Linked DNA regions of Lytechinus pictus. The protein of the gene in region 2 interacts with the protein of the main gene of each other region in a pairwise test. Links are inferred from orthologs where the notes say so. Each region holds a gene or a part of one and is shown on either strand. Other genes may lie near its edges. The genes, in order: spectrin alpha chain, non-erythrocytic 1-like; exocyst complex component 1-like; girdin-like.

What was found.
Region 1: the proteins of exocyst complex component 1-like (region 2) and spectrin alpha chain, non-erythrocytic 1-like interact in a two-hybrid assay, tested with the Homo sapiens proteins (2 studies listed by BioGRID and IntAct). The link is inferred for Lytechinus pictus from reciprocal best matches to the Homo sapiens genes EXOC1 and SPTAN1.
Region 3: the proteins of exocyst complex component 1-like (region 2) and girdin-like interact in a two-hybrid assay, tested with the Homo sapiens proteins (2 studies listed by BioGRID and IntAct). The link is inferred for Lytechinus pictus from reciprocal best matches to the Homo sapiens genes EXOC1 and CCDC88A.

The regions. Positions count from the first base shown.
Region 1 is NC_087259.1:29,334,685-29,345,767, reverse strand, and holds the start of spectrin alpha chain, non-erythrocytic 1-like, read right to left. Parts: upstream 3,974-11,083; 5' UTR 2,913-3,973; intron 1,169-2,912; exon of another isoform or gene 807-1,168; intron 1-806. UniProt on the Homo sapiens protein: Fodrin, which seems to be involved in secretion, interacts with calmodulin in a calcium-dependent manner and is thus candidate for the calcium-dependent movement of the cytoskeleton at the membrane.
Region 2 is NC_087249.1:53,892,535-53,903,438, reverse strand, and holds the start of exocyst complex component 1-like, read right to left. Parts: upstream 5,116-10,904; 5' UTR 5,063-5,115; intron 1-5,062.
Region 3 is NC_087251.1:45,618,284-45,628,332, forward strand, and holds the start of girdin-like, read right to left. Parts: upstream 4,643-10,049; 5' UTR 4,638-4,642; coding exon 4,398-4,637; intron 3,596-4,397; coding exon 3,437-3,595; intron 2,660-3,436; coding exon 2,377-2,659; intron 1,883-2,376; coding exon 814-1,882; intron 319-813; coding exon 3-318; intron 1-2. UniProt on the Homo sapiens protein: Bifunctional modulator of guanine nucleotide-binding proteins (G proteins). Acts as a non-receptor guanine nucleotide exchange factor which binds to and activates guanine nucleotide-binding protein G(i) alpha subunits.

The DNA.
Region 1 (11,083 bases), on a different chromosome or scaffold from region 2:
CAGCGGTGGGATCAAAATGCACATATATATCTAGCCTTAAGTTGGTATCAAGTGCTAATCAACAGACCATTCTCCTGTTTTTTTTTCTTCTTGTTGTATATTCAAACTTACATGTAAGATGCAAATAAAATAACTCCTCCCAAGCTCATTTCTTTCATCTGCATTTGAAACTCTGATTTAGAGAATAAAATATTTTCATTGCCTCTTGTAAGCAGTTCAAACAGGAACATATTTTCATATAAATTTCCATGTCTGAATGCAAATATACATATAAATTAAAAAAAATATCATGCATATTGAGTTACTTGAACACTTAATCAGAAAAAAAAAGTCAGATGAAATAATTATATAGGCCTCAATTTGTAAAGCTCAGTTAATGTGTACATGTACAGTATATTCTGCCTTATGGTATCAAGGTTGCGGTTCATTTATCTCCAACCACAATGAAATGGAAGCTGTCATGAAATACCACAGGCTTGATCAAGAGAATGAACTGATCCAGGCAAAGAAGAATAGAATAGATTCATTCTTGCATACCAATAATCAATCAGAATAACTCAATACCTGTAAAAGAAAGCATCACTCAATAAGTCTGTACTAGAGTAAAGGGGTACAGTACATGTATATCATGAAAATTATTCATACTAGTTGATTCCAAGACAAGTTATACTCATCCAAAATATTCAGCATCATGAAGAATGCCTTGAAAATCCATCCTATTTGACATATCTCTCTCCAAAAAAAAAAATGATACCAATAAATCCCCAGCTCAGATCTTTAACTTTGATGATTCTGATTTCTCCTACCTGTTAAAAACAAGATCTTGTGTCTGCTCCGCCGAAAGAGAAGGTAAACTGAGACGAGATCGCAGAGATGTCCGTTTTCAAAAGGCCCTGTATGTGAGAGATGCTACGCAGGGGCCAATAATGTATTATCATTACCAAAGCAATGCCACTCCCTTTCAGCAGCTCAGAGATGGGTAAGGCTCGATATCAGCCTGTAGAATCTAATGTAATGTATTCACTCAAAGTGCGGAGAGTGCGTGGTATATTCCCGAGAATGCTAACATGTAGCTCCCAACCAACCAACGCTCAATAAAATACCTCAACGGTATCCCACGATGAATGCTGGTGTGTGCATTGATGCTTGTACTGCATGTCTACTGTGTGTGTGCATGACGTACTGCGTGTATATTTTCTATAGGTGCGTTGAGTGTGTGTGGACCTTTTCAATATGCCCCCCTCTTGGTAAATACAGTTCCAATCGTTAGTCTTCTTTAAGTTGTACAGTTTCTTTTTTATTTATGTTTTTTTTTTCTCATCAATGCCTTGGATAATGAAAATTAATCTATGATAGTAATTTTCGCTTTTAGTAGCGCCTAAAACAACGGCCCAAAAAGCAGGTACAGATATGTTATTATTGGTTATTACTGGCAACCTACTAAGTTTAGATTATATTTTGACTTTCAAACTTGAACCTTGTCCCTTTACATCCCAACCCCACAAACATGCAAAATATGAAAACAAAAGATTCTGTTCTCCTTTTTTTTAGCGAGTCACATCTCTAGATAGTATCCTCCTACTGAGTCTTGTTTGTTTTGTATCCGTAAACAGCAAAAAAACTTATCTCTATATACATGTATTGTGAATTAAATGAAAAATTCTCAAGAAAACAAATGAGGTACGTGTTCACGTTCAAAAAAGAAAAAAAAAATGTTACACTATTACAATTATCACAAATCATAGGCCTACAGTATATAAATTTATAAGTCTGAAATAACCGAAGGTAACATTTCTGTGGTGCATTTACTTTTATAACAGCAAAATACGAAACAATGCAAAGGACACGAAAATAACAGGCAAAACGGCAAGGCTATTGAGGCCCAAAAACAAGAGCATTCAGTGTATAAAAATGCCCAATGTGATTCAGAATTCACTATGAAACCAGTGAAAAATAATACATTTTGATACAGTCTGTAAAATGAGGCTAAACTGTACTGTAGTGAAGAATTTATTATGCCAATAATCCCATTAAAGTTCTATGAGATTAAATTGTTCAAACATTAGAGTCACCTCACTTCAGGACACATGTGTATTCTGATTTATACATTTTTCATATTAAAAATGTACAGCTCTCAAGAGGAATCCGTTTTTACAGTGGTACAAGAATTTAATAATGCCAATATATCTGATTAAAGGTCAAAGCACACTGTACAAACAACTTATTATAGATCTATATGCATTCATGTACATTGGGACAAATGTGTAATCTGTGAGATATGAAAATTGTACAAAATTGTAGTTCTCAGAATAATATAGAAACATATGATATAGGCCTACATGTACATGATTACAGAAACTGATAAGAAAAACAAAACTGTAAGATAACGGTAATAAAAAATATAATCCTACATGAAGGTCCATAGGCCTACAATGTATTTGTAACTGTATAGCAATGTACTTCTGGTGCATAGATGGGGGTGGACCTTGGAGGCACTTGTTCCCTATCCCCCCCTCCTAAAACAAGTTCCACAACAAAGAAAGAGGATGAGATGAAAAGGGAACAAAAGGGAAGGAAAATGGGTGAAATACAATTTTCTGATTATTGTGTCAAAATCTATCACAAAATTATAGTTTTAATTTAAAAGGCATTTTTTTCAAAGAAATTTGACCCTTTGACACATTGTCCTACCCCTTCATTCAAAATCCTTTGCTCATATGTGCTGTATGGTGTATATCATTTTTGTGTAGCGATGGACACATACATGGTGCCCACATACAAATACACACCCATACATGTATGCACATTCCACAACATAGCTTTTAATACATACATGTACATGTACATTCAACAATCGGTTTTGGGAGTAAATTCCCTTCAAAATCCATGAGATGAACATGTATCTCACTTACTGTTGCGCTCTATGAGGAAGAGGATGAGGTAGGATAGCAGGTAGCAAAGAGCGTACAACGTTCCAAGGCATAAGATGAGTAAGAGAAAGAGATCTGGGTGGTCATCAAGAAAAGGACACACTGGCATAGCACCACTCCTACCCTCTACATGTATCTATGCACAATGACACACTCAACGACAGTCGCAATGACAGTCTCAATGACGTCAGCGTCCTTGCTGGTAAGAACTCATCAGCTAGGACCGCAGGGTCTTCGAGTCAGGGGTGGATGATTAAGCATTCAAGCAGGAGCCACAATGCACAAGTGTGTTCTGATTGCACAAGTGTCTCCTCCTTGGCTAATCAGGTTAGCAGACAGCGACTTGAATGGAGACCTTATATCATTACGTGATGTGATACAAAGAATTGCACATTATCATTCAATTATCAATTTCTACAGTATGCTGATATTCATGTCAAAGAGCTGTTAAAAGCTACTAGACTGTACATGTACAATTGGGATACATGTACATCTACATTATCTTCAAACAGAGCATGGCTTTCCAAGAGATGTTGAGAATGTTAAAAGCAGGTCTAGATCTCTGCAGCAACTGGTGCACAAGACATAAAACTTGTCATTAGAAGCACTAAACAGAAAACAAAAACAGAGATTTTTAATAGAACAAGCAATACTGTGATTCCTGTCCTTCCGTCTGATGAGAGAACAATGTGAATAACAAATTTTCCAGAGTGAAGCTACATCATGTAATTCATATTTTTCTCATTAATAACAAAACAAGATTCATTTCCACATGCATGATGAAGAGAAGAACATTGTTCAGGATGCAACAAGTACACATATGTGTATAGTTGTGATTGACGCGTAATTCAAAGTCATTAATAAATATTCCAAGATTCAGGCATCAGTAAATCTCTGCAACAGTACAAGATGCTTTTAATAAGATACATGTACGCATGATGAATGGAGCATACTTCCAAGAAATCCGCTGTCAAATATTCCGCTTGAGCAATGATGCTAAACCCGCAAGAGATGCGTTCCCTTCACCAATCCACTCCAGTGACTCCTACATGTACCTGATGGAAACCATCACATCATCAAAGAGATATTTAACACTCATACACATGCAATAGGCATCTGAAAGTTTAAGGTTATGCAAGCAAAGCAATCTGAGACTGCATCAACTGCCTGATGCACTGCTGTCTAGCTCTCGCTCTCTCTCTCCTTCTTGCTAATGACGTCCACACGGCTTATTTCAGCATTCCAGGCTCAATTTGAACTGATTAGAATTCAACTAAATTAATACCAGTCTACCACCTGCATTTTAAACCAGCAAGCACTTTACAGAGAAGGGACACAGTAAATGCTTTCTGTTTTCCTCAGCTTCTTAAAATTGGCTGAAGCACTCGGCAGAGTCTGGCGATGGGGAGATAGAAAACCAGGACAGAGATGAGAGGAGGGAGAGACAGAGAGAGAGACACACAGAAGTCAGGGATAGAGTACCAGGTGAGAAAGATAGAGAAAGAGAGACGGGAAGGAGAGAGAGCAAGAGAGAGAGATGGACATGCAAAAACTGCCAATGAAAAGAATAATAGAAAAAGCCAGGCAAATAAAAAGGGAATCTAGAACACACCCACAAATCTTCAACAATCTATGAGACTGGAGGGGGCAATGAAAGCAGATCACATACAAAAGAGCATCTTCCATCAAAATGTTAAATGTTAAATGCACATTAATCAGAACATAGAATAATAAATCTGAAAAATAATCAATTGAGTAAGGTAGAGAGTAAAAATTGTGTCACGATTATTTATAACCAGAGGATCAGAGGAAAATCTCGGGGAAAGGTGGGACAAGCCTTAGGCCCCACTTCCAAGGAGTGCTAAAAAAAGGGGCAAGAGGGGAGGGAATGAGAAGCAGAGCTTGAGAGAGAGAAAAAAAAAGCAAAAGTCTAATGAATTATCTCACAAGTCAAGACAACAGACACAATTTCTGTGCTCACCCGGGTATCACATAGGGATGCAATGATAGCATGTGCCCTGAGTGCCTTGATATGCCACTGCACAGTAAAGAATAGTTGCATCAAAGAACATTATCCTTTCAATTTGTCTACCCCCAAAGTAAATTTCCACTTTACAATATTACAATTCGGTCAGCTCAAGAGCCAGAAAATATTTCTCATTAAACAATTTTACAAGTTATTGAAATGTGACCTTTAATAATAAAGAGGAGAGAGGAACAAAAATGTAGAACAAATTACAAAGGGGATATCATGCCGCTGACTGGGCCCTCAATAAATAACACAGCATGCAAGAGAGCCAGTCTGAGACTGAATATTAATGTTGTTGCCATGGGCAACAATGATGTCAGACTTGACAGTTGCAGATGGTTGGCTGCTATATTTTGCACATATTAGTGCTAAGCTAGGCAGTACATGTACATATAGGTAACCCTGTATCACACTCTTATCAGTTAAAAATTGCAACAAGTCATGATCTATACACAATGTGCATGAGATTCCCTACACTAAGACCCCATTCTCATTACAATCATAAACTAATTTAGTGGAAACTGGTTTAGGAAACCAGTTTGTAAGTGCTCCTTAATGTATCTGATCACGTGAAAGTGGTTTTCAAAACCACTTCGCCTAAAGCAGTCTTGTTGCTAGGGGAATGCTCTCAGTGTGGTGACATTTTTCAAGCAAAATTTGAAACTGCAGCATAGACATTCTACATACATTTGTACATGTACTGTACGGAGTAGCGCGCCCAACAATGCGCAAAGATCGCTTCCAGAAGATATGTTGTGTCTTCTCTTCATCTATGCTTCAAGAACTTTAACGAGGCAGAGCGGTCTAGAAAACCATACAATGTATCTCGAGGTGTACAGTACTTCGAGTGTCCCCATCACAAGTTAAACTAGTTTCCACTAAACTGGTTTTAGAACTGTAATGAGAGCTGGGTCTAAGTAAATGTAGGCCGATGCACATACAGGCTTTAAAAGTATTCATGTACAATCACAATTCTAGAATATTTTAGAGAAATGACACAGAGAAAATATTTTTTCTTTAAAACAGACCACACTGCCTTCACAAAACACATTAAATGTGATGAAAAGCACAATATCATCCTAGGCTATGGCCATTAGAAAAGTCAACAACGTTCATGATACATGTTTCTGATTTTTATTTTTGTTGATATTTGTTATCATCATCATTTCCCTTTTGCCTGGTTAATTGGATTAGGGCTGTCTGCATTTAATGGCTTGCTGTAATTTGAGTTGCTTTTTCGTCTGAATCAAACCTACAGGTATATAATGTTATTGTCTTTTCATTGAAGTTTCCATGTCATGTCATTTCTTAATGGTAGTAATGTAATGTGTAATTTAGTATTTACAGTTATTTATGTTGGCCTATCAATCAAATATGATTTGTTTTTCACTTCTGGGATCAACCTTTAAAATCACCATCCAAAAGAGCGATGTAGATATTAATGCTTTGCTCAAACACAACAGTGCCACGGCAGAGTTTTGAACCCGCAACTTCCATGTTTGTTGTTTGTGGGCCTACTTCCAGTTATATCCTACATTGTATGCAGGGCTAACATGATCTTGTCTGCAGGAATCCCCCACTCGGTACCTTTAAGTTTGGTGACCCATGACTGAACTTACAAAAAACAGCTCTGAGGTCTGACTGGATGCTTTGACTCAGCTCAATTAAAAACCCAATCACAGTTGGTAAGTGGGTTGTCAGCTGTTAAATCCATATATCCAAGGTAATGTTCATTTCAAGTATGAAGTATATGTAGCCTACATGTATGTACCCACTGGCAAAGACTGGGGTAGTCTGCAGGCACAGACTAATATTAGACGGTTTGACCAATAACAGGTCTAGAGTGAAGACTAGACTCCAAAGACTGGGTCAAATAAGAGCCAGCCACAGGAGATAGTGAATCTAGTCTCACTACTTCAGACTCTGCATAATGCACTATGTGAATTGCGAAAATGAAGGGTCTGAACCTGCAGACCAAGACTGGGGTGCAGCCACTTTTACCCTTCCCGATTCCCCCCCCCAAAAAAAAAAAAAAAAAAAATTGAGGGGAGGGCCGGGTTAAGAAATAATTGCATTGTATAAATTTCTCAACATCTTGACTTTTCATCAGATTTCATAAAACTTCAAATCATAATCATTGGGTGTGGGTAAATAGTCCATGGTCTGACTAAAGAATTTCTCTGGAACACACAAGACCTACTTGTATCCAATAGCTTACATTCACACTATACTGTAGTAAGGAAGTGACACAAAGATCGAAATACATGTAGGTCAAAATTAAATTCTCATGGAGACAGAGCATACATCTAGCAATTCAAAACTTGAAGCGAGTCGAAAACAGCCGTTTTAACATTTTTTGTACCAGCTTCATATAATTGGCTTGAATAAAATTAGATAAAACGGCTGCTTTCAACTCGCCGTATGGTGGCCAAAAAGGAAAGGATCGGAATAGAAGTGGTCAGAAATATTTATATTAACCAATTGTTTCTGATCACTTCTGAAGTAATGCAGATAGCACATATATAATGCTAAAATCGGTAGAATCATACATCAGCAGTAATGACTTTCTTACATTACAATTTCACCCTTGTAATTGACAGAATTTGATAAAGATATTACCAGGGGGGTGTTTCACCAAGAATTATGTGACTTAAAGTTGCACTTAAATACCGACGCGTACATGATAAGCAATCTTTTTGATTAATAAGCAGAAGTGCGCGTCCACTGACCAATGCAGTCATGCCTTTTATAAGGCACACAACTAGGCATTTAAGTGTGCTTCTAAATCATACTTAAATTTTTGTGAAACACCCCCAGTACTGTTATGTCTAAGTTTTGTGAATATGACATAAAACTTTCAAAAATTAAGGAAACATTAAAAAAAAAACTTTAAACATTTGACAACACACTACTACTGCATCCAGAAAAGTTGTTCCTGTATATTGTATCTCGTTTAACATATGTATGTGTGTAGAATTATTCTTCTTTTGTTATCAATACCAGAACGACTTGTGATCATTTCTTGATGCTAAATCAGATAGCCTACTCAATCACTTTGATTTCTATTAGCTTTTTTTTTTAATATCAAAATGCTCATTTTTTTAAATGGAACCAGATTGCAACATTCAATATTTCAGTTTGGGTTATCATGTAGAACACAGTTTAAGGAGAATCCAACCCAAATAAAAACTTGTTTTTATAGAGGAAAACTAAAAATTAGACAAGTTGATAGGTGAAAGTTTGAACAATATCGGGCAAACAATACAAAAGTTATGAATTTTCAAAAATGTAATATATTGGTAACCACTAAACCCATGGATACTTCAAATTGGCTACATATGTGATGAAATAGTGATGTATGTAAGCTAAGGACTCTTCCAAGTACTCCAATACAAAAAATTGAGGGGAGGGCCGGGTTAAGAAATAATTGCATTGTATAAATTTCTCAACATCTTGACTTTTCATCAGATTTCATAAAACTTCAAATCATAATCATTGGGTGTGGGTAAATAGTCTGACTAAAGAATTTCTCTGGAACACACAAGACCTACTTGTATCCAATAGCTTACATTCACACTATACTGTAGTAAGGAAGTGACACAAAGATCGAAATACATGTAGGTCAAAATTAAATTCTCATGGAGACAGAGCATACATCTAGCAATTCAAAACTTGAAGCGAGTCGAAAACAGCCGTTTTAACATTTTTTGTACCAGCTTCATATAATTGGCTTGAATAAAATAAGATAAAACGGCTGCTTTCAACTCGCCGTATGGTGGCCAAAAAGGAAATGTGACTGACATATTAATCGTCAAACTTCAAGAATTACAGGTCAGATAACATCATAAAATAGCTGATTTTAATCGAAAGAAACAAACTTACTGAGTTATTTTATTCCTTATAATTGTCACAAATCTACACCAAAACTATCCAAATGTATCCTCCACCAGTTCTTATTTTGTGATCCTGTAATTATTGCCAATGTATTTTGTGTAGGCCAAGGGGGTGGGCAGCTCAGTCTCGGGAAGTTAACAAAGCTCTGTTGTGAAGCTACCCATGGATCTTTTCAAAAGATACAAAAGGTGTTCACAGTGAGTCCACAGCCTTGTTGTACAATGAGTTTGTTTAGAGTCACTTTAATCTTCTTTGTCCTCAGATCCACCTTTTCCCCTCTTAATCCTTTGTCCTGTCATAATCAGCTCCAGGATCTGGAGGAAGTGGCTCATTTCCAATGAACGGTTTCTCCTCAGTAAAGTACATATTCTTCACAATGCTGTTTCAACTGAAAGGAGGGGGGTGGTTCCAACTTTTGGGCAATTCCATAAAATGCTCAACCTACGTCCACCCCCCATTTTTCTCAAGTCTTACTTTACTTTATAAACTGATTATTAGTCACGGTCCTTTAGAGAACATTACAGACTGTCAAAACAACAAGAAATCAAAGACAGAAAATTTTATGAAGGTCCCACATATAGGGGGTCGGACTTACATATTTTATAGAATTGCCCTTTAGCGGATCGGAATAGAAGTGGTCAGAAATATTTATATTATCCAATTGTTTCTGATCACTTCTGAAGTAATGCAGATAGCACATATATAATGCTAAAATCGGTAGAATCATACATCAGCAGTAATGACTTTCTTACATTACAATTTCACCCTTGTAATTGACAGAATTTGATAAAGATATTACCAGGGGGGTGTTTCACCAAGAATTATGTGACTTAAAGTTGCACTTAAATACCGACGCGTACATGATAAGCAATCTTTTTGATTAATAAGCAGAAGTGCGCGTCCACTGACCAATGCAGTCATGCCTTTTATAAGGCACACAACTAGGCATTTAAGTGTGCTTCTAAATCATACTTAAATTTTTGTGAAACACCCCCAGTACTGTTATGTCTAAGTTTTGTGAATATGACATAAAACTTTCAAAAATTAAGGAAACATTAAAAAAAAAACCTTAAACATTTGACAACACACTACTACTGCATCCAGAAAAGTTGTTCCTGTATATTGTATCTCGTTTAACATATGTATGTGTGTAGAATTATTCTTCTTTTGTTATTAATACCAGAACGACTTGTGATCATTTCTTGATGCTAAATCAGATAGCCTACTCAATCACTTTGATTTCTATTAGCTTTTTTTTTTAATATCAAAATGCTCATTTTTTTAAATGGAACCAGATTGCAACATTCAATATTTCAGTTTGGGTTATCATGTAGAACACAGTTTAAGGAGAATCCAACCCAAATAAAAACTTGTTTTTATAGAGGAAAACTAAAAATTAGACAAGTTGATAGGTGAAAGTTTGAACAATATCGGGCAAACAATACAAAAGTTATGAATTTTCAAAAATGTAATATATTGGTAACCACTAAACCCATGGATACTTCAAATTGGCTACATATGTGATGAAATAGTGATGTATGTAAGCTAAGGACTCTTCCAAGTACTCCAATACATAAAATTGCTAAAATGTCATTTTTTTCAAGTTTTACTTTATATGAATTTTTCTTACATGAGGACATAAAACAATACACTACAGGTCTGGATTATATTTAGATATTTAGGAGAAAACCACAAAGGGCAGTTCCAAGGTAATGGAGTGACATTCAGAAACAAGCTTTTAGCATTCAAACAAAGATATCACCCATATTCAAATAGTTATTGGCAAAAAAATTGTACCTGACAGTAGTTGCAGAAACCCACTTTTAAAAATAATAACATTTGTTAAATTTTGATCCACTGAATTAATGAGAAATGAATATTCATAAACATGGTTATGGAGTGACGTAAAATGGACATGCATATTACAATTAATTACATTAAAAAAATTGTGTATTTTTCATTAATAATTACAACTTAAAACATTAACCCATACCCGGTTAAGGAGTGACATCTGAAATATTCACACACAGGCAACGTAAAATGAACTTTTATTTTTAAAATTTCTTTTGATATGATGGAAAATGACGACCTTCAGATTATCCGAAAGAAAATTTCACAAAACAAGCAAGTTTTCTGTTAAATTGAAATTAAGTGAAAAACAATATATGCAGTCCCATGTATATAATTTTTGTATGGTTTAGATTCTCCTAAAAAGAGATGCGTAAGAAAA
Region 2 (10,904 bases):
TTATTTTTTTAATTGAGGAATTAAAGAATTTAATTTTGAGGAATTAAACAATTTAAATATTTGTACAGTTTTTTGGTTAGTTTTGGTTTTTTTCAATCGTTTTTTAATGGAAATTATTGGCAATATTTTTCCAATCGTACAAATATTGATACAGATACGAATGTCGGCGAAAAATTCGCATTGGCTTTATACATGAAATCACGTTATTGAGCAATTCGGGGTCTGACATGCACTTGTGTAATATCATAATCGCATACCCATGCATGCATCCCAAAAATAGTCTTGAACAATATGGCATGGCCCTGTCGTGCTTATGGATTTATCATAGAAATTTTAGGGGGCCATTACGGTCCCCTTGGACTGTTAGGGTTAAAGGTCAAGTCCACCCCAGAAAAATGTTGATTTCAATCTGTAGAGAAAATTCAAACAAGCATACATGTAATGCTGAAAGTTTCGTCGAAATCAGATATAAAATAAGTTACATGTATGACATTGTAAAGTTTCGCTTTTATTCACAAAACAGTAATAACATCTCAGTGATATGCAAATGAGAGAGTTGATGATGTCCCTCAATCACTATTTCTTTTGTTTTTATTGTTTGAACAATACAATTTCAATTTTTTCAGATGACCTACTTGACTGAACCAAAAAATGTTAAAACAATGGTAGTTCCATATGTTCAGGGAAGAATTAAACTTTATTTCACATGACAATGAGAAAATAACGAAATACAAAATAAATAGTGAGTGATGTCATCAGTCCCCTTCATTTGCATACCGACCAAGATGGGCATATAACTGTTTTGCAAAATTAAGCAAAACTTTATTATTTTGTATCTGATTTTGACGAAATTTTCAGCATACATTTTTCTTGGGGTGGACTTTTAAGGTTTGCTTGCTGACTATCTTATACTGAATTTAAGTACTTTTCTTCATATTTACAAAGCGCAAAGTTTCACCTGCTTTTGTGTGTACCTCAAGAATACAATGTCAGTTTTACAGTCTATTTGTAAAATATTATGCTTGTGCAACACTTCCATTTCATTCAAGTTCCATATTTGAGCTTATTTTAAAGCACAACACTCATGTTTGTTATAATGAGAATATTCTTAATATAGATTGATGTGCACAATTGAACAAGAGGATTTCAAGGAACATGACAAAGGGATGGAGAAAGGGGGATAAGGGGGAAAAGAGAAAAAGAGTGGTGTGAGAAAGAGATCTAGTTAGAAGAAAATAATGTGCCACTTAAGAAATAAAAGTATAAAAAAATATTCATCTAAAATCACATCCATGACCATGCATATTTATAACACACAAGTCTATGAGGTGTTTTAAAACACGTTTTTTTTGTAAAAAAAACGGGTGTTTTAAAACGCGTTTTAAAACATGTTTTAAAACACACCGTTTAAAACGTGCCAACCCTGGGTCTAGGAATGCAAACTATCATACGTTAGTCACGTGACGTTGTACACAGAAATATGCCATGTTCTGCCTGCTCGATCTCAAAGTTTTGGGGAAAAATGAGATGTAACCATTATACCAGTCATAAAGTATTATACATCAAACTGTAGGTAATCTATTTAGCATTGAGATGACAATCAATCTCGACCTCTTTGACCCTTAGGGATATTCCATTGGGAAAACAAAGGTGCCAGGGTCTCGAAAATATGGGTGCTTTCAGACCGTTTGCCATAGCAAGAGTTGTGAACATGGACACTTTCAAATGAACAGCGAGACGTAAATAGTGAATTAATTGTAATAATATTTACATCAAATTAATGGAATTTGATAAAATTTTCACACTATTATCAATCTGGTGTGAGATTATTAATAATTATAAAGATATTCCCGGATTTCTGCAATATTACGTCCATGAAAACCACTGTTCCCTGTGTTGAAGCTGTGTGTGTGGACTTTCAGACACTCAAATGCACGCGACTAACCATTATGATACTTTTAAAAGAGGAATGACCTCCAGAATTCAAGCGCGAAGCGCCAGTAGATTTATGTTGAAGTTTAGACCTAGAACAGGGACGTTGAACCTTTATAATCATGAAAAAGATGGTATTTTTATCAATAAAACATGGGAGTCTAATTTTGTTTTAGTGTTAATATTCAGATCTTCAAACTTGACATTTTCCTATCCCCTTCATCATCCCCTCTCCTTCTCCCTTTCCCCATTTTCGTTCTCCCTTCTTTTCTTTTCTTCTCTCCCTTCCCTTTTTCGCTTTTCCTTTCCCTTCTTTTCTTTCCTTTCTCCCTCTCCTACTCTTTTCTCGCTCTTTCCATTTTTCTTTCCCTCTCCCTTCCCCTCTTCCTTTCTTTTGTTTTCTTTCTATTTTATGGTCTCCTTTTCCCTCTCTCTCCTTTACCTTCCCCCCTCCCCTGATCTGTCTTTTCTTGTCTCTCCTTCCCTTTCCCGCCCCCTCCATTCCCTTTCTCGCTTTTTCCTTTCTCTTCTTTTCTTTCCTTTCTCCCTCCCCTACTCTTTTCTCGCTCTTTCCATTTTTCTTTCCCTCTCCCTTCCCCTCTTCCTTTCTTTTGTTTTCTTTCTATTTTATGGTCTCCTTTTCCCTCTCTCTCCTCTACCTTTCCCCCTCCCCTGATCTGTCTTTTATTGTCTCTCCTTTCCTTTCCCGCCCCCCCCCCATTCCCTTTCTCGCTTTTTCCTTTCCCTTCTTTTCTTTCCTTTCTCCCTCCCCTACTCTTTTCTCGCTCTTTCCATTTTTCTTTCCCTCTCCCTTCCCCTCTTCCTTTCCTTTGTTTTCTTTCTATTTTATGGTCTCCTTTTCCCTCTCTCTCCTCTACCTTTCCCCCTCCCCTTTTCCTTTCCCTCTCCTTTTTTGTGCAAACATTAACACGAACATCTTGCTTCCTACACACACACACAAACGCCCGCAATCTAACACACGTAATGCGAAACAATCGGGACATTATCATTTTGTTCATATATATATATGTATATTTTCTCAATGAACATTTTCATCTATTTAAAGCTTTGAAAATTATTAAACAATGATTCCATAGGCGAAATCTCAATGATCATTAGGAAGGTACTTTACCCATTTTCATTTTATGTCATTGTGATTATTCCAGACTAAGGCAACATATTTTGGATATAAAAATACGTGAAGGATATGTTCCTCTTCTGTTTTATACTTTAACAGAAAACATTTTGTTCAACCAAATTATGATTTGTATTTCCAAGTTCCATGTAATATTTTCATTGGAAAATCTCTTAAAGGTCAAGTGCACCCCAGAAAAGATTGCAACCTGTTGATTTTTGGTACAATTTCCTATTATGCGCCGACGACTTGAATCGAGAATGTTCGATAGGAAAATTTCGCATTTCGATTGTTGTTTGCGTAATTTCCACCGCAGTATGAGGATGACTAAGGACGGATCGAACGAAGTATCCTGGTTGAGATTTGGAGGTAAGCGACAAAAACACTTTAATAAATAATTTATAATTCCTTTTTCAAATAAACTTAAATCATACGATCAAGATTAACATAGTGGACAAATAGGCGCTAGTGTAGTTTCGCACCTCCCCGTTTAATGGTTTTCAAACATGTACAATCTCACCCTAAATAATTCACAACCTAAATACTTGCATCTGAGCCTCCAAAGTCCAGTAGAAGTTAAATATTTGCCGCTTTGACACTTTTTTTTACAAAGTTTTACACCTATTTCGGAATCACTCGGTCGCTTGAAGCTCAGCGCTGCACATAGGCAGTCGGTACGCGTACAGTACGTACCACCTAGGCCTAGTGAAGTGCAAGAAGAGCGAGTTTTTCTATGGTATCTTCAAAAAGATTTTTTTCCCCTCTTTCAGCTTGCACCAAGTATTACGGTAGTGGTTGTGCAGAGTGGTTGATGTTTGTTGTGTGAAGGTGTGTGTGGGGTGTGCGTGTGTGTTTGCTTGTTTGAATGAAATAAGAAATGTGAAAAACCACTACCGTAATCACTAGCGTACCTACGGGGGGGGGGCAGGGGGGGCACTCTGCCCCCCCCTGACGAGTCACAACCCATGCAAAAACGTATCTTTGCCCCCCCCTGACGGACTTGAAAAAACCTTTTTTGGCCCCCCTGACGAGCTTGAAGACCTCTTTTTTTTTTTTTTTTTTTTTTTTTTTTTTTTTGCTTGTCAATTTTTTTTCTGGTACGAAATCCTTTATTTGTGATCGAAGACCTTTTTTTTTTTTTTTGCTTGTCAAATTTTTTGGGGTACGAAATCCTTTATTTGCGATCGAAGACCTTTTTTTTTTTTTTTTTTTTTTTTTTTGCTTGTCAATTTTTTTGGCGGACGGTTTTGCCCCCCCTGTGGAAAATCCTAGGTACGCCACTGACCGTAATACTTGGTGCAAGCTGAAAGAGGGGAAAAAATCTTTTTGAAGATACCATAGAAAAACTCGCTCTTCTTGCACTAGGTGGTACGTACTGTACGCGTATCGACTGCTTATGTGCAGCGCTGAGCTTGATCAAGCGACCGAGTGATTCCGAAATAGGTGTAAAACTTTGTAAAAAAGTGTCAAAACGGCAAATATTCAACTTCTACTGGACTTTGGAGGCTCAGATGCAAGTATTTTAGGTTGTAAATTATTTAGGGTGAGATTGTACATGTTTGAAAACCATTAATTAAAACGGGGAGGTGCGAAACTACACTAGCGCCGACAAATATTGAAAGGTTTGGCGTAGTTTAGTCCCTCACATTCGTGTGATGAATGAAAACGTCAAAATGCACTATGAAATCACATGTGTTGTGCGAGGTTAGTATACTAACCTCGCATGTTGTGTGAGTGGAAGCCGCCTGGCTACAGGGCCCCAGGCCCAGCCAGCCGAGCCCGTAACTTCACCGGCCCTGGCCGGCCCGCGTTATACCTCTCTTCGCTGTTATTAACACGGGCTAAATTAAGTTCGTATTCAACAGTATCTAGCGCGCAAATTTGTTCCACGAAATCCTCATATTACCTGCAAGCACATAAATAATTATAATTCCATGTGGCACCTATAATCATCTTATATTTATCAAAGAAATACTGATTAATTTCAGTGTTTACCTGGCTTACTTGGATGCAGGAAGTTCGAAGGAAACCGTACACTGACTTCCGCTGCGCTGCGCGCGCGCGCTGGGTCGATAGCCGAGCGCGCGTACACGTTGGATCGATACGGGTGATGTGATGGAGGGGATGATAATGATGATGATGCCCGGTGCCCGGTGATGATGATGATGATGATGGTGATGGTAATGATGATGATGATGATGATGATGATGATGGTGATGACGATGATGATGATGATGACGATGATGATGATGATGAAGATGATGATGATGGTGATGATGATGATGACGATGATGATGATGATGATGATGATGATGATGATGATGATGATGATGATGATGATGATGATGATGATGATGATGATGATGATGATGATGATGCATGATGATTATGATTATGATGATGGGGATGATGAACCAGGATAATAATGTCAATCCCGGTCATGATTTCTGAAGAGGTACCGATATATGGATAATGCTGGTTATGATATAATGATGAATACGGGGGTGACGATGTTGAGGGTGATGGATATGGTGTGGTGACGGTGGTGGCCAGTGCTGCTGATTCCTAGCACTGCTGTTGCATGCTGCCTCTGATGATGATAATGACACTGTTTTTCATAACATTGAAAGTAATATCTAGAGCAGGATGTTAAACTTTGGTATAAAATGTTTTATTTAAATGTTAGTAGTTTTGAGTTTCAATATATTCAGTAGTTTCAATATATTGTCTACTCTATCCACTAGCGTACCTACGGAGGGGGCAGGGGAGCAGTCTGCCCCCCCCCCTGACGATCCACAACCCATGCAAAGGACGTATCCCTGCCCCCCCTGACGAGCTTGAAAGACCTTTTTTGCCCCCCTGACGAGCTTGAAGACCTTTATTGCCCCCCCCCCCCCTCGCTGACGAGCTTGAAGACCTTTTTTTTTTTTTTTTTGCTTGTCAATTTTTTTTCTGGTAGGAAATCCTTTAATTGTGATTGAAGACCTTTTTTTTTTTTTTTTTGCTTGTCAAATTTTTTGGCGGACGGTTTTGCCTCCCCTGTGGAAAATCCTAGGTACGCCACTGCCTCTATCATTATCATAATCATAGTGTTGTTTCTATATAGGCTATCTTTGATTTTTAATATCATTCATGAACAATTAAGCGCAAGCTTATGTTTTTCATACAGGCCCTACTGACCAAATAAATGAACATTTTAGGTGACTGTTATATTTTGTGAAAACATGGGTGGATTGATGAGTTCCCTTTTCTTATTATGTTATTACATGAAATCATAATTATTTTATCAGTTTTTCATGCATGTGTGAATGATTATAATAAAATAAGTAAACTAGCAGCAATAATGTCTCAGGCCTGGAATATCTCATGCATTAAAGCAGTTGTCAAACCATTATTTTAGTTCTTGGAGGAAAAAATAACAAAGACAAAAGGCAAGTGGGATGTGATTAATTTACTCATTGAATATTCATGAAGTCAAGCATAAATTACTGTTTCACTGAAATAATGCAATTTTTTAAAGTGTCATAACTTTGTTATTCCTTCTCCGATTTAAATCAAATTTTCAATGTTCAAATTGTATTAATTTAGCCTGGAGTAACCCTTTACAAGCACTGTTTGTATCATGAACAGCACACGTATCCGAAATGCGAGCATTCAGTTTATATGACATATACAAAGATAAATTTTAAGGATTTTTTTTAGAAATTCATGAAGAGGAAAGTTTTCTGACCAATGAAAATGCGAGCGAGCAGCTCAAGCTGACTTTTTTCTCTTCAAATCTAAAAATTTGATAAATAATTGACTGTTTTAGGACTTCTACAGCGCGTCCCCAAAAATGTCCCTCTGACATAGGGCTGAATTAATTCTAAAATGTGGTAGTATTCTCAAAAAAATGTTCATGAGTAGAGCTCACTTCATGATCTAACTTCTATGAAAATTTCATTGGTTGCGCTTCAGCGGTTTTGAATACTGTTATACGTAACAGTGGTGCATTTTAGCCCATTCCAAGTTTGCAGCATTGATGCATTTCTGTATTGTCTATGGCATATTAACCCATCACATTCTTACATCCAGGATCTGAGCAGGGACATTTCCCTAATCATATCCAGGCTCATTAAATCATAAACTTTGGTATGTTCAGAAGAAAAGAAACATAAAAAAAAATTAAGCTTGTTTGATGATTGATAAGGGGAATCAGTGCACCAACTTGGAAAGAAAATGTGAATGATGGATGAGTAATATAAGCTGAAAAATAAATGGGAATCCACAAGTTAATCACCCTTTGCGAAAAGGAACTATACCAGAGAACAATTTGACTTTTTTTTCTTTTAAAAAGTTACATCGAATTAAATTGACCACAGTAGCTTATTAAAGGGATGGTCCGGGCTGAAAGTATGAATAACTTAATAAATAGAGTAGAATTCATTGAGCAAAATGCCGAAAATTTCATCAAAATCGGATAACAAATAACAAAGTTATTGAATTTTAAAGTTTAGCAATATTTTGTGAAAACAGTCGTCATGAATATTCATTAGGTGGGCTGATGATGTCACATCTCCACTTGTTCTTTTGTATTTTATTATATGAAATTAGGTTTATTCAAATTTTTTCCTCCAAGAACTAGAAAAATTGGATTGACAACTGATTTAGTGCATTATATATTTATTGCTGCAACTTATTTCATTATAAGGGAGACATATCATTCACACAAGTATGAAATAATGAAAAAATTATGATTTTATGTAATAACATAAGAAAACGGAAAGTGGAGATGTGACATCATCAGCCCACCTAATGAATATTCATGACGACTGTTTTCACAAAATATTGCTAAACTTTAAACTTCAATAACTTTATTATTTGTTATCCGTTTTCGATGAAATTTTCGGCATTTTGCTCAGTGAATTCTACTCTATGTATTAAGATATAAATATTTTCAGCCCGGACCATCCCTTTAAGTAAAAATAAGTAATAAAAACAAAAATGCAGTATTATAGGCATGAAACAGACATGACCCGTTGTATTAATCATTGTGCATCTCTTAATTGTTATCAAACGTGAAATGAACTGTCAAATATTGTTTTTGCCCTTCTGAACATGCTCAAGGTTGTGATTTGATGAGCCTGATTAGATGATGGACATTTCCCTGGTCAGATCAGGGAATTCCTTGGTCAGAATGGTCGAAGGGGGCTGATATGATATGTGCAGAACACACAGCAGTGCTGCAGGCATGCAAACTTGCAATGGACTAAAATGCACCACTGTTACATCATAGAGCTCTATGGTTACATAATAGACTGTGTATTCAAAATTACTGAAGCGAGACCAATGAAATTTTTATAGAAGTTAGAACATGATATGGGCTTCCTAGTTTCATACATTTCACTGAGAATAATTTTTATTTTTTGAAGTAATTTAGCCGCATATCAGAGGGACATTTTTTTGGGACGCGCTGTAAGGTGTGTAACTAAATGAGAGCCCGCAGCGCGAGCGAATTTTAATTCAGATCTGAACAGGGGCGGCGGAACCAGGGGGCAGGGGACAAGTGCCCCCAAAAAATTCTCCGTAGAAAAAAATCCCTTTTTTCAAACTAATGGAAAATGCCCTTTTTCAAAATGAAATGTGCCCTTTTAAAAATGAAATACCCTTTTTGAAGCAAAACAGCAAAGAGTTATGGTGGTAATTCAACAAATACCCCAACATGGCCAAAGTCCATTGACCTTTGACCTTGGTCATGTGACCTGAAACTCGCACAAGATGTTCAGTGATTCACTGAATATCTTGTGCGAGTTTCAGGTCACATGACCAATTAAGGTCAAAGGTCAATGGACTTTGGCCATGTTGGGGGTATTTCTTGAATTACCATCATATATCTGTAAGTGTATTGATCTAGTTCATAAAACATGAACATAAGAGTAACCAAGTATCACTGACTTGGTTACTCTTATGTCCATGTTTTATGAACTAGATCAATACACTTACAGATATATGATGGTAATTCAACAAATACCCCCGACATGGCCAAAGTTCATTGACCTTAAATGACATTTGACCTTGGTCATGTGACCTGAAACTCGGACGGGATGTTCAGAGATACTTGATTACTCTTATGTCCAAGTTTCATGGATCAGATCCATAAACTTTCAAAGTTGTGATGGTAATTCAACAGATACCTCCCACAGGGCCAAAGTTCATTGACCTTTGACCTTGGTCATGTGACCTGAAATTCGCACAGGATGTTCAGTTATACTTAATTACTCATTTACTCTTATATTTAAGTTTTATGAACTAGACCAATAAACTTTCAAAGTTATGATGGTAATTCAACAGCGCCCTCAACTTGGCCAAAGTTCATTGACCCTTTATGACCTTTGACCTTAATCATGTGACCTGAAACTCGCACAAAATGTTTAGTGATACTTGATTACTCCTATGTCCAAGTTTCATGAACTAGGTCTATATACTTTCTGAGTAATGCTGTCATTTCAAAAACTTAACCTTCGGTTAAGATTTGGTGTTGACGCCGACGCCGCCGCCGCCGCCGTCGGAAAAGCGGCGCCTATAGTCTCACTCTGCTATGCAGGTGAGACAAAAACGAAGAAAAAAAAAGTCCGATGGAAGCAAAAAAAAATACTGGTTTAAAACAACGAAATGATTCAGAGAGTTAAATGCGTTTTTGGCCAATCAAGTATTTATCGCAGGAACATTATAATATACATGTATTTTGTATTTATTGTATTTTCTTATATACAATGAATATTTTATTGGCAAAAAACACCTCATGAACTCTCTGAAATATTTTGTTATCATGAAACGTGAAACTGTTTTGTTTGGAACTAAAAACGGGATATTCTCATTTCTTTAATACGGTGTAGTGACCCGGGCCGTCGCTAAAGGGGGTGTGGGGGTGCGACAAAAAATGAAAGAAATGAGGAGATGAAAGGGGGAAAAAGGAAGAGAAAAAGAAGAAAGAAAAAAGCAGAGAAAGAAGGAAAAGAAAAGCAGGGGCTGTTGGACCGACGGAAAAATGATAAACTGTCGGGTCACGCAGATTAGAATGTACGTCTTCATCTATACCGACAGTGATTAGAATGTCTAGATTTGATCAAGTCGGAATATCAAAATTTGATGAGCGTTGTACCCTTCGTTTTCATTACTGATTACAAGAAGTGCAAAAAGAGTGTTGCCATTTTAAAGTCGAGATTTAAAAGAAAAATCAGCTTGCATTTCGCGCTCGTAATAACTATTTATTGAGATACATACATCCTGATCTTTATGAAAAAACACCGTTCTTAGAATGTCCAATTGTCAGGTCTTAATGGATATCCAATGTCTTTTATTGTAAAAAAAAAAAAAGGTGCTTAGTATACATGTATATCCATTTTCATATCGGAAAAAAGTCAGCTCGCGCTCCGCGATATCATCAAATAGTAATGTATTTTTATTGAAATACCCATCCTGTTCAAGGTTACATTGCTTCGAATGTCTTTTTTTTTTGGTCTAAATTTACCTCAAAAGTTAAGCTGGCGCTTCGCGCTCGCATCTTTAGTGAGATTTATATATCCTCTCCACATTTTCCCTTCATATTGGAAAATGTTTAAATTTTCCCTCAGAATATCGAAAATTTCCGCTCTCGCATTAAGGTACACATATTGTTAAATTGCAAAAGGGTGAAACTATTAAGTTTTAAGTCAAAATTTTATTTGTTAAAGTCAAAATATCAAAAGTGGTCAGCTCGCGCTGAACCGACAGTGATTAAAATGACTCTTTTTAAAGTCAAAGTCTCATCATATAGGGAAATCAATATTCTCTCCACAATTTTCCTTTATGTTTGACA
Region 3 (10,049 bases), on a different chromosome or scaffold from region 2:
ACCTCCCTGAGTGTGGCAAGAGTCTTTTTATCGATAGTAGATTGTTTAAGTAGCTCCTTGTTCTCCCTCTCCAGCTCCTTGGCCCTGTCCCCGGATCCCTTGTTCTTGCCGACCGTCTTCTGCAGGAGCTTGTTGTCCTGCTCCAGGCTGCCGATCCTGGCATGGGCCTTGTCCAGCTGCTGGTCCCTGGACTCCATCAGACCCCGGAGACGCCTGATCTCCTTCTCCAGGTTCTGCTTCTCCTTGGTGAGGTTCTGCTGCTCCAGCTCCAGGGTCTTGTTGTCTTTCTCCAGCTCCTCCAATCGCTTCTCACTCAGACTGTGAAGGAAGGAACGTGGCAGGAATAGAAAGCTGAGCTCATAGAAACTAATTGCCACCAACATCAAATGTATCAATGTCAATTGTATATAGAATGTTTATCATAGCTTGCCAGCTACAAAATTCAATGACTCCTCGATGCAAGTATCATGACATATTGGAAAGAAAGATACACGAACAACCTTCCCAAACAACCTTTCACAAAAGTGTACCTGCATATCTTTAATGCCAAAAGTAGAGAACTCTCAAGTAAACATTAGGACAGATATTGTACGTTCTTTTAAACATATATATTTGGGGAAAATAGATGATCGAGGAGTTATTGACTTTCGTTTGAAGGCTAAAATGCAGGAATCACTGCATGTATATTGTTATGATTTCAATTTGTAATTATAACCATCAAATGATATTTATTTTATATATCAATCTTATTCCATAGTCCTACTTCTTTGATTAAAGGTTTGAAAAGTTTAGGTTAAAGGATACATTACTTACCTGAGAGCTTCAATTTGTTTCTTCAACCTCTCCACCTCTGCCTCCAGGTTCTCATTCTCCCTCTCCAGCTTGTGTATGGTATCCTTGTTGAGCTCCACCACCTTCTCCACCCTCCTCTTCTCATTACCTAGCTTCATATTATCCACCTCCAGCTGTCCCGCCTTGTCCTGCACCGTCTTGATCCCCTCCACCATGTTCTGGAGCTGTCTGTTCTCCCTCTCGCACTCCTCCTTATCGTGCTCCATCTCCGTGATCCGCGTTGCCATGCCCTTCATGGCATCCAGCGACCTCTGCAGGGTCTGGGTGTCCGCTTTCAACCTCACGTTCTCATTCTCCAGGTGCTCCAGACGTTGGATGCGGACCTTGGCCGACTCCAGCGCCCGCGTCACCTTGCTGATCTCCACCTCCAGCTCCGTGTTGTTCTTCTCCACCTCGTCAAACTTTTCACACATCAACTTGAGCATTTCAACATTCCTCGATAGTTTTTCCTTCTCCAGTTCCAGAGCCTCATTGCTCTTTTCCAAGTCCTCAATCCTGTCTGTCCTCTCTTTCAATCTCTCCAACGATTTCTGCAATTGCTTTGTCTCGTGTTCCGCTTTGGACAGTTTACTCTGATTATCCATCATGTCCTCCAACAACTTCCTGTTCTCCTTTTCAACATCCTGTATCCTCTGGTCGACATCCTTTTTATTTCTTTCCCGCAGGGTTTCTATCGTCCTTTCCAACTGCTCTTTCTCCGTATCCCATTCTTTCTGATACCTCTCAGAATTCTCCTTGATGGTCAAGATGGTGTCATCCAGAGCCTTCTTTTCTCGCTTCAGGACACTGTTCTCCTGTTCAATCTCAAGATGACCAGACATCTCCTTGGAGCTGGCCTCTTGCACTTTTTCAAGCTTCCGGCTGAGTCTTTGATTTTCCTTCTCGACCTCGAGGAGCCGAGTCTGCGCTTCTAACCCGGCAGATTCTCGCATTGTTTCCATCTCGCGATGGAGTCTTTGACATTCTTTTTCTAATTTGAGCACTTTACTTGAAGCACTATCATTGCACTCTGCTGACAAGGATGCAGCAGCTGTTAAATTTGGACAAAAAGCATTGAAACAAATTGTTATTCAAGCAAAGTTCCATAAAAAAAACTCAGTGATAAAGGAATGAAATACTTTTCATGAGAGTATATCAATTGACTAACTGTAAATCAGACAAAACACAAAGAAGTGGAGATTGACCCAGTCCAGCAAATTTTGAAAGAGGGGATGAACTGGAAGAAGCATTGCTAAAGATAACCAGAAGAATAAATTGAAAGTGTATTGAACCTCGTTTCGGACATTGCTTTATGACTAGAATAAACTTTAAAGACCATTATTTTACTTTTTTCTATTCCAGCATCTTTTAAAAAAGATTGGGTGAACCAGGAGAAACACTGTCCAAGTTAATTAAAAAAATAAACTAAAAGTATACATGGACCTTGCTTTTTTTTAAAGAATGATATATGACAAGAATAAACTTAAATAAACCTTAACTTTACTTTTATTTTCTGGCAAAAAGAAATCCTTGAACCCAACATACCTGAAGAGTTTAGCTTTGCCTTTTCCAGCTCCACACCCAGACTGGCCGACTCATTGAGACTCTGTTTATGGTCTAAACTCAGCCTAGCCACCTCCTCCGCTAGCTCTGCTATCCTACCCCTGTCCATATCTCTCTCCTCCTCTAGCGTCTCCATCTGAGCCTTTAACCTTAGACACTCTGCCTCGGCCAGGTGGCCCCGTTCCAGCTTGTCGTTAGCGGTGGTGACCTGCTCCTCCAGTAGGGACTTGGTTTCCAAAAGAACCGTGTTGTCTTCTTTTAATTCCTGATGGATAACAACAGTAATAATTGTGAATGTATAAAGCACAATTTCTGTACGGATTTACTCTATCTGGACCTTTAGCCTTAGACACTCTGCCTCGGCAAGGTGGCCCTGTTCCAGCTTGTCGTTAGCGGTGGTGACCTGCTCATAAAAAGAGGGACTTGGTTTTCATATCGATAATTAAAGAAGGGTTAACTGAAGATGTGAAAGTGGCTTTATGCAACTGTGGAAGTCTTGAAAAGACAACGCCAACTGGGCAATTCAATAAAATAATCCAAACTTTTTGTATGTCCGACCCCTAATATTTTTCCATTTTTTCTTCACTCTATAATCTGCTCAAGCCATTATAATTGAGAGCAGTAAACCCTTTCACATAAACTAGAAAACAGAAGACAAATACAGGGGGTGGAATGGACATACACTACGGAATGGCCTTTACGAAGTGATGCAACAAGAAATGGCTTTGATAGAAGAAATTTCAACAGCATTTCTAAAGAGCCGTGTTATGACAGCAAAATAAACATAATTTTTTTATATTTTTCTACATTAATCTTCTCCTTCAAAGCCATTATCATCCAATGAGGAAAAAATGGCATAAAACATGATGCCACTTGGAATTGATACAAAAAGTCTAAACGTCATCTAGAATGACCCGTTTCTTACATGTACATGAAAAAGGCATATTCTAATGGCTGAAATGTGTTGAAAAGGTCTGAATTCAGACTTAATTCTGAAAAGTGGCATCCCTGAAAACACAAATTCATAAACAAGCAACCTTACCTCGACTCTTTTCTTGAGATACTCTAGCTCATTGAGCTTCTCCCTGTACTTGGCGATCTCGTTCTCGTACTTCTCTGCTTTGCTGGCCTTCTCCTTCCACACGTCGAGCTCATCCCTGTACGCTCTCGCTGAACGCGCATCTTGCGTCAACTCGAGATTCTGGCAAAACAAAAATATTAATAAATAAGGTTGAATTAGTGATTATAATGACAAATCAAGTTTTCAAAACTCAATTGTAAAGTCAATCATTGATCAGAAGAATGAGTAAAGAAAACATGGTACAGGGCCCTCAGTGATAGCAGTTTGTCAACTCAAGAGGTTACTCTGTTGACATGAAACTGGAAATAAATGAATAAATAAATAAATAAATAAATGACATTAATAAATAATATTAATACTTCATCACTTCACTTCAGCAGACATTAATATCATCCACATCAATTCAAAAGAACAAATTATATTTAAACATAATACCAAATAATTTGAATAAGTTTCACTTTCACCACATTAATAAAACATATTTGACACACTCAAGAGTGGTTACTTTAAAGAGTCATGGCTAATGGGGTTTGCTACCCTGTTAACATGGTCCAGTGTAGAAAATTAAGTGTAAAAATACATTTTTAAGGCAAATATTACACGGATTACATAATAACTGAGTGCAAACCAATAAAGGTCTGAGGTTGATTTAATCTCAGTTCTATTTATGGAAGGCCAGTGAGTCCATAATCCGTCACTTACAACGTGCAGAACCTGTAAGCAGTGCTTTCAAAAGAGAATGCACAGATGCATGTGTAATTGAATCGACAAATCACCATGCTTATATTGGCAGATTATATTTTTCCAATTTTCAATTTTGAGATCGATGTTAACTAAATGTATCTTACATCTGACGGGCCACAGGGTAAATGAAAATAAGTTTAAAACTTAGGATTAAATATTTGAAACTTTTGTGGCTTACCTCTTGCCGTAACTTCTGCATGGTGGTATTATACTTCTCCACCTCCTCCTTGTACTCCAGAACCATCTCATTCTTCTCCTCCAGGTCCTGCCTCATTCTCCTCAGCTTGGCTTTGGACTCGGCTAGCTCAACAGTCACATGACGTTTGTCCGTTCCGGGGCTCGTCAGGGAGGGGGAAGGGGAGAGGACACGCCCGTCTGCCTGAGACTGGAGGTACTCCTTCTCTTGACTAAGCTCCATGATAGTCTATGGGTTAAAAGGATGAATGGATAATGAACGGAAAGTGATCCAATATATGCCCCTGCAACAATTTGCTCCCATCTTAATATTTTTGAAGATATAAGGTTAGCCTAAAGGCTGCTATAATTAGCTCTTTTTTTAATTATCAGCATTATTTGTTATTGAATAACATTTTGAAAAAAAAAGAATAAAGGTGAATGCTATGTTTGTGATGTTTTATGATTATTATTTAATGTACATCTTTTTGATGGGAACAAAATGTCAATAGAGCATACATGGCAACTGCAAATGCAGGTATTTTCTTTCTGAATTCAAAAATGCCTGCAAATACTCAATATGATCCCACAAAAAACAAATGCTTTCATTTCTTTCAACTTCATTTATTTTTTTAAACATATTTCTGACCTATAAACATCGCAATTACAAAAAAAATCAACAAGTTTTGAGTAAGTTTCTGTGTCACAAAACACACCCACAAAATCCTGAAATTGTCTTTAAATGATTAGTGCTTAGATTAGTGATTAAAGAAAGGACTTAACTAATCAGAAAATATTTTATTTCTCAAACACCACATATCAAAACAAGTACATTTTTCTTGGATTGAGATAAACAGAATGTTTTCCCATAACATCAGACCAATGCAATTAAAATCTTCAGTGATCCTCTATTATGCTTTTCACACTGCAATATTTTTCCTTAACCCCGGGAAATTGGTGGGGCTAAGGGGGGGTCTTAGCCCCACCAATTTCCCGGGGTTAAGCTTAGCCCACTTCGTTTTCACACTACGTTTTAGCAAAGTGGGCTAGCACGGTAAATAGTACGGTACTATCTGGCCCTGCAAAAAAGCAGGGTTAGCCGGCTTATTGTGGTGCTAGCACCACAATTGCGGTGCTAAGAGAATGCAGCGTGAAAACCAACAGGGCTAAGGAAAGTGGGGCTAAGCATTTAGCCAATCACGGAAGTAGAATTGCACGTTAATCACGCTCTGTATGGTAAAATCATCAATATTCATGAGCTGAGGGATAGTCCGGGGTTAATGCATTATCCCCGGCTGAGCAGATAGTATGGGGTTAAGAAAGACAGTGTGAATCGAAAAAAAGATAGTATGGGGTTAAGGATAGTCCGGGGTTAAGGATAGTATGGGGTTAAGGAAATGCAGTGTGAAAAGCATATATATGTGATGCATAAAAATAAAAAAATGACATTTAAGCACCTGTCATTAAATTACTTAAAAATTAAAATAACAAGCTTTGAAGTAAACAACCAACTTCCTTTTCCACTTTTCTGCCAAACACACTAGCCAGGCAATGTTTATGTTTTATACAAGGAAGTTGACTATTTCTTTCTCAGAATATATACCAAAGTATATACCTTTGCATTAGTAGTTGTTATGAATTCGATTGCATTATCAAATCATGTAATGATGAAGATTAAGTGGCTGATTAAAGATATTAATAAAAGCTAAGGAGATAAATGGCTTAGTTTCATTTGTGACGTCTATGTGCTGTATGTGAGCATGTAGATTTTTGCACGTAATTCACACTAAGATGCTTTAGTTTCATCCTAAATGATTTCAATTAATCAATTCAATCAAAGGAGTCTCTCTTGATGAAATATTAAAGGAGCCTATGCAGATGTGACTGAATTGTATTTTTATATGTTTCATGCAAATGTGAATAAATAAACTGATGGGGCGTTGCAAGAAACTTGCGATCAATTGCAAGTCTATTTTCGTTCCCGAAATCAAACATATGCCGTGCAATTAATTGTAAATTTGCGATTGATTGCTAATCTGCTCCATGAAACAAGGAGTGTAATCTGATTTGATATTGTTAAAAGTGATCAATCAATTGTAAAATTGCAACAGAATATTTGCGATTGATTGCAAATATTTTCTTGCAACACCCCCAAAGACAGAATTCAAGAAAATGAAAGATAAGGATATTCAAGATGGGAGTTATTTTCACATAACAGGAAACATTTTGCAAAGTAACTTTGCATTTTATTTTTAAACTTTGACACACAAATGCTAGTTTCCTTGTTGTTTATTCTTAGTATTCTTGCTGTTGCCGATTCTTTTGCTATTGATCAGCTACATATCCTTTGGTTGCACTTCCGTTACGCCCAACTCATAAAACACAAGACCACTTTTAATCTTAAAACTCATACAGACATCAGTCGAAACTCTTGGGCCCTTTGCACCCAATTACCACCCCTCTGGGGTCTTGGCAAGAACATTTGCAGAATATTAGCAGCAACAACAGGAGTCATTGTCACCCTCTCAGTTTGAAATCCAAACCACATGAACCTATTGAGGTGCTTTCAGTCTGACTTCAAAACAAAGAATACCAGGTATTATCCTACTCCCATTTCATCAAGACTTGTTGTAATAATGAACACTTTCGATATCAAATTTACTGTCAGCCAATCAGAGTGAAGGATTTCAGTAGCTTTTAACTGTTATTGAAAAATTGTTAATAACAAGTTTTATGAAACAGGGCCCTGATCAGTAAATTTATCCTGATCTACACTAATCGGAAAAAACAGGTATTCTTGCCATTGTGAAAGCAAATAATTTTTTATATTTCTGAATGAAAATACCAACTAAATAGTAGGTACTTGTCTAAATATGGAGAACTTTCAAATCCGAGTGAGTACAATGGCTGTGGGCACCATGTGGCACCTGGGTTGCCAGCTTGCTATGAGCTCTCAATCGTGAATCATGCACCTCGTCAACAATTAAGACCATACTGGCCACGCTCACAACTTCAAAAACTTTCCCTGAAAGGATTTGAATCGGGCGAGTATCAATGCAGAAACAGGTATTTTGAGGCCGGATCAAATTCTCATAACTGTATCAATCATAACTGAGTCTGAGGGCCCTTTTCATGAGATCCATATCAAAGTGCTTTACAATGTAGAAAATTTGAAATATACAGACAAAAGTGAATTAGAAATTATACAACAAAAAAATAAAAACATCAAGGCCACTGTAAATTTGTAATATGCAAACAAAAGTATAATGGAGCTATGGGTATTCTGGTGATCGAGTCGGTCTGAAAGCACCTTTTGACTCGCGAGAGAAGAAAATTTGTGAATCATGTAAGGTTAGACCACATGATCAGTCTCTGTATCACGACCTTTGACACCCGTCAATCTCCCGTGCTTCATTAAGGAGTAAAAAAAAATGTTACCAAGAGTGAACAGTTGAAGTCAGATATTGTGCCACTATGCCACTATTTCCGGTTGATAAACTTTTTTGGTACGGCTGGAAGTTGTTTGCACATGGTTGATGAAATATTTTCACGATTCTTTCTAAAGCTACAAGTAAACAGTAACATGTTACATGAAGTTGAGTAGCATTACGGTCATCGATCCGAAAGGGAAACGTTGTATATGATTGATGAGATTAAGTCTATATACGAACAAGCAAGAAAAAAAAGTTGAATGCATGTCGTTATTCAAAAGAGCAAAGCTCAGTCATTTTTTTATTTCCATTATGAAAATATTGGCACCCGCCCCCCCCCCCTTTCTCTGCAAAGGATATAACTTGATTGTATCAATTGTAGACAATGTGAGACTTGCATGCAACTATTTGAACTAACGATTGCAATGGAAAGGCATATAGGATAAATTGTTACAACTACAGCAAGATTATTTCCTTTTCGAAATTCAACTTAAGACTTGATGAGGGAATACCCAAATGTAGAGTAATCTAATAAAATATTGATGACTTATGATTGTCATGGCGACATACATACACCAAACACAGAGGTCCCCTCCTTTTTTTGAGTCAGCGCTACATAACTATTTTGAATGAATAACAATCTCCTCCAAAACATAAATGTCAATTACACAATCATGCGGTCCTTATTATGAAAAGCCGCATGAACTACTAGCAAATAAAGAAGGCCTAGATAGTATTGAATGATGTGACTTACTTTCTTTTTTAATAGAAAAAATACAAGGAAAGTTCTGGTTCACAATCCTGATAGTGCTTCAATTATTGCAGAGGTCTCAAATTATGTCAGGCTACATAATAGGTTTCCTTTATTTATATTATGTAGGCATAATTTGTTCTTTGCTCTCAAGTAAAATTACCAAATGATGATGGTGACGGCAATTGCCATTGCTGTGATGAATGCAGCAGCTTTCAAATCGAAACATAAGGCTTATAAAAATCTGACAGCCATTTTGAAGAGATGGAAAATAAAATGCAGGCCAAAATATACATGTCTGCATGTAGGCCAATAAAGCATTTTCCGCTGGCAGACCACCTGCATGATCACGATGATTCATTGGAATTTAAATGGACATCAAAAATCATACTTTGGCCCCTGTGGGGAGAAGTTCCACAGTATAGGCCTTGTCGATAGAATCTGAATTGACATCAAAATTCGTGGTTTGGTCCCTTACGCCTGGGAGAAATGCCACATTACAGAGCATATATCTGACAACTGATGTATTCCAGATACTTAAACCTGACTTTTATGGCAATGCACTTTTGGGAAATATATCTCATCCAAAGATACAGATTCACTGGAAATAGATAGTATAAACTTCATAGGCACCATGCAAGGGCCATTAACACAAAGCCTATTGATTGATCATAAGGTTGATTTCTATGATTAATTGCATTGATTATTGTGTATGATCAATTGTAAAAAAATCAGCTCCGGATGAGATTAACCACCTAGCTTTATGTTATGGAGGCCCAGGTATATCCACAATTTCATATTGGAAATATCTTTATTGAAAATAAATACATTTATCTGAACTTCTGAAGTAAATATTAGGAAAAGGTATACCAGAATTTTCATCTCCTGCTATACACCCATCTCCTTCTTTTTTATCCCCATCTTGCCTCTCAATGAACTTCATATCAAAAGTTTTGGTACAAATATATGCATCTGGGGAATTCTACTCAATTGCTCCACTCTATCAAATTGCAGGGAATTAAAATACATCAATATGGTCTGCAGTGAAGTTTTTAATCTCGAGAGATTTTAAGTTAAATCCTTTAGAGATTTTAAAATAATTTGTTCTTTTAGGATTAAATCTCAAATTTGATTGGTCCTTAGCTACAGTCCACCTGGGCTTATTTTAAATCTCTGCAACTTAAGAGTGCGTGTATGCAAATCATTCCAATTGACAGAGATATTGGAAAAACAGTAAATATGCTTTGCTCCTGCTATGCAGCAGAGACAAACAAAAAACATACCCCTCTTTATTATTTGCCTTCTGTCTAGAAGGAAGCAATTGTCACTAATGTTAACTTATCTCTATGTACCGTGAAAAGATAAAAATCCAACAGCTAGGCACTTATTGTAATCTACTAGGCACTTTTCCTTCTTGGGAAAGATTTATGAGTTATCTGACAAATAAGTATCAGGTATATCCTTCCTGTATACA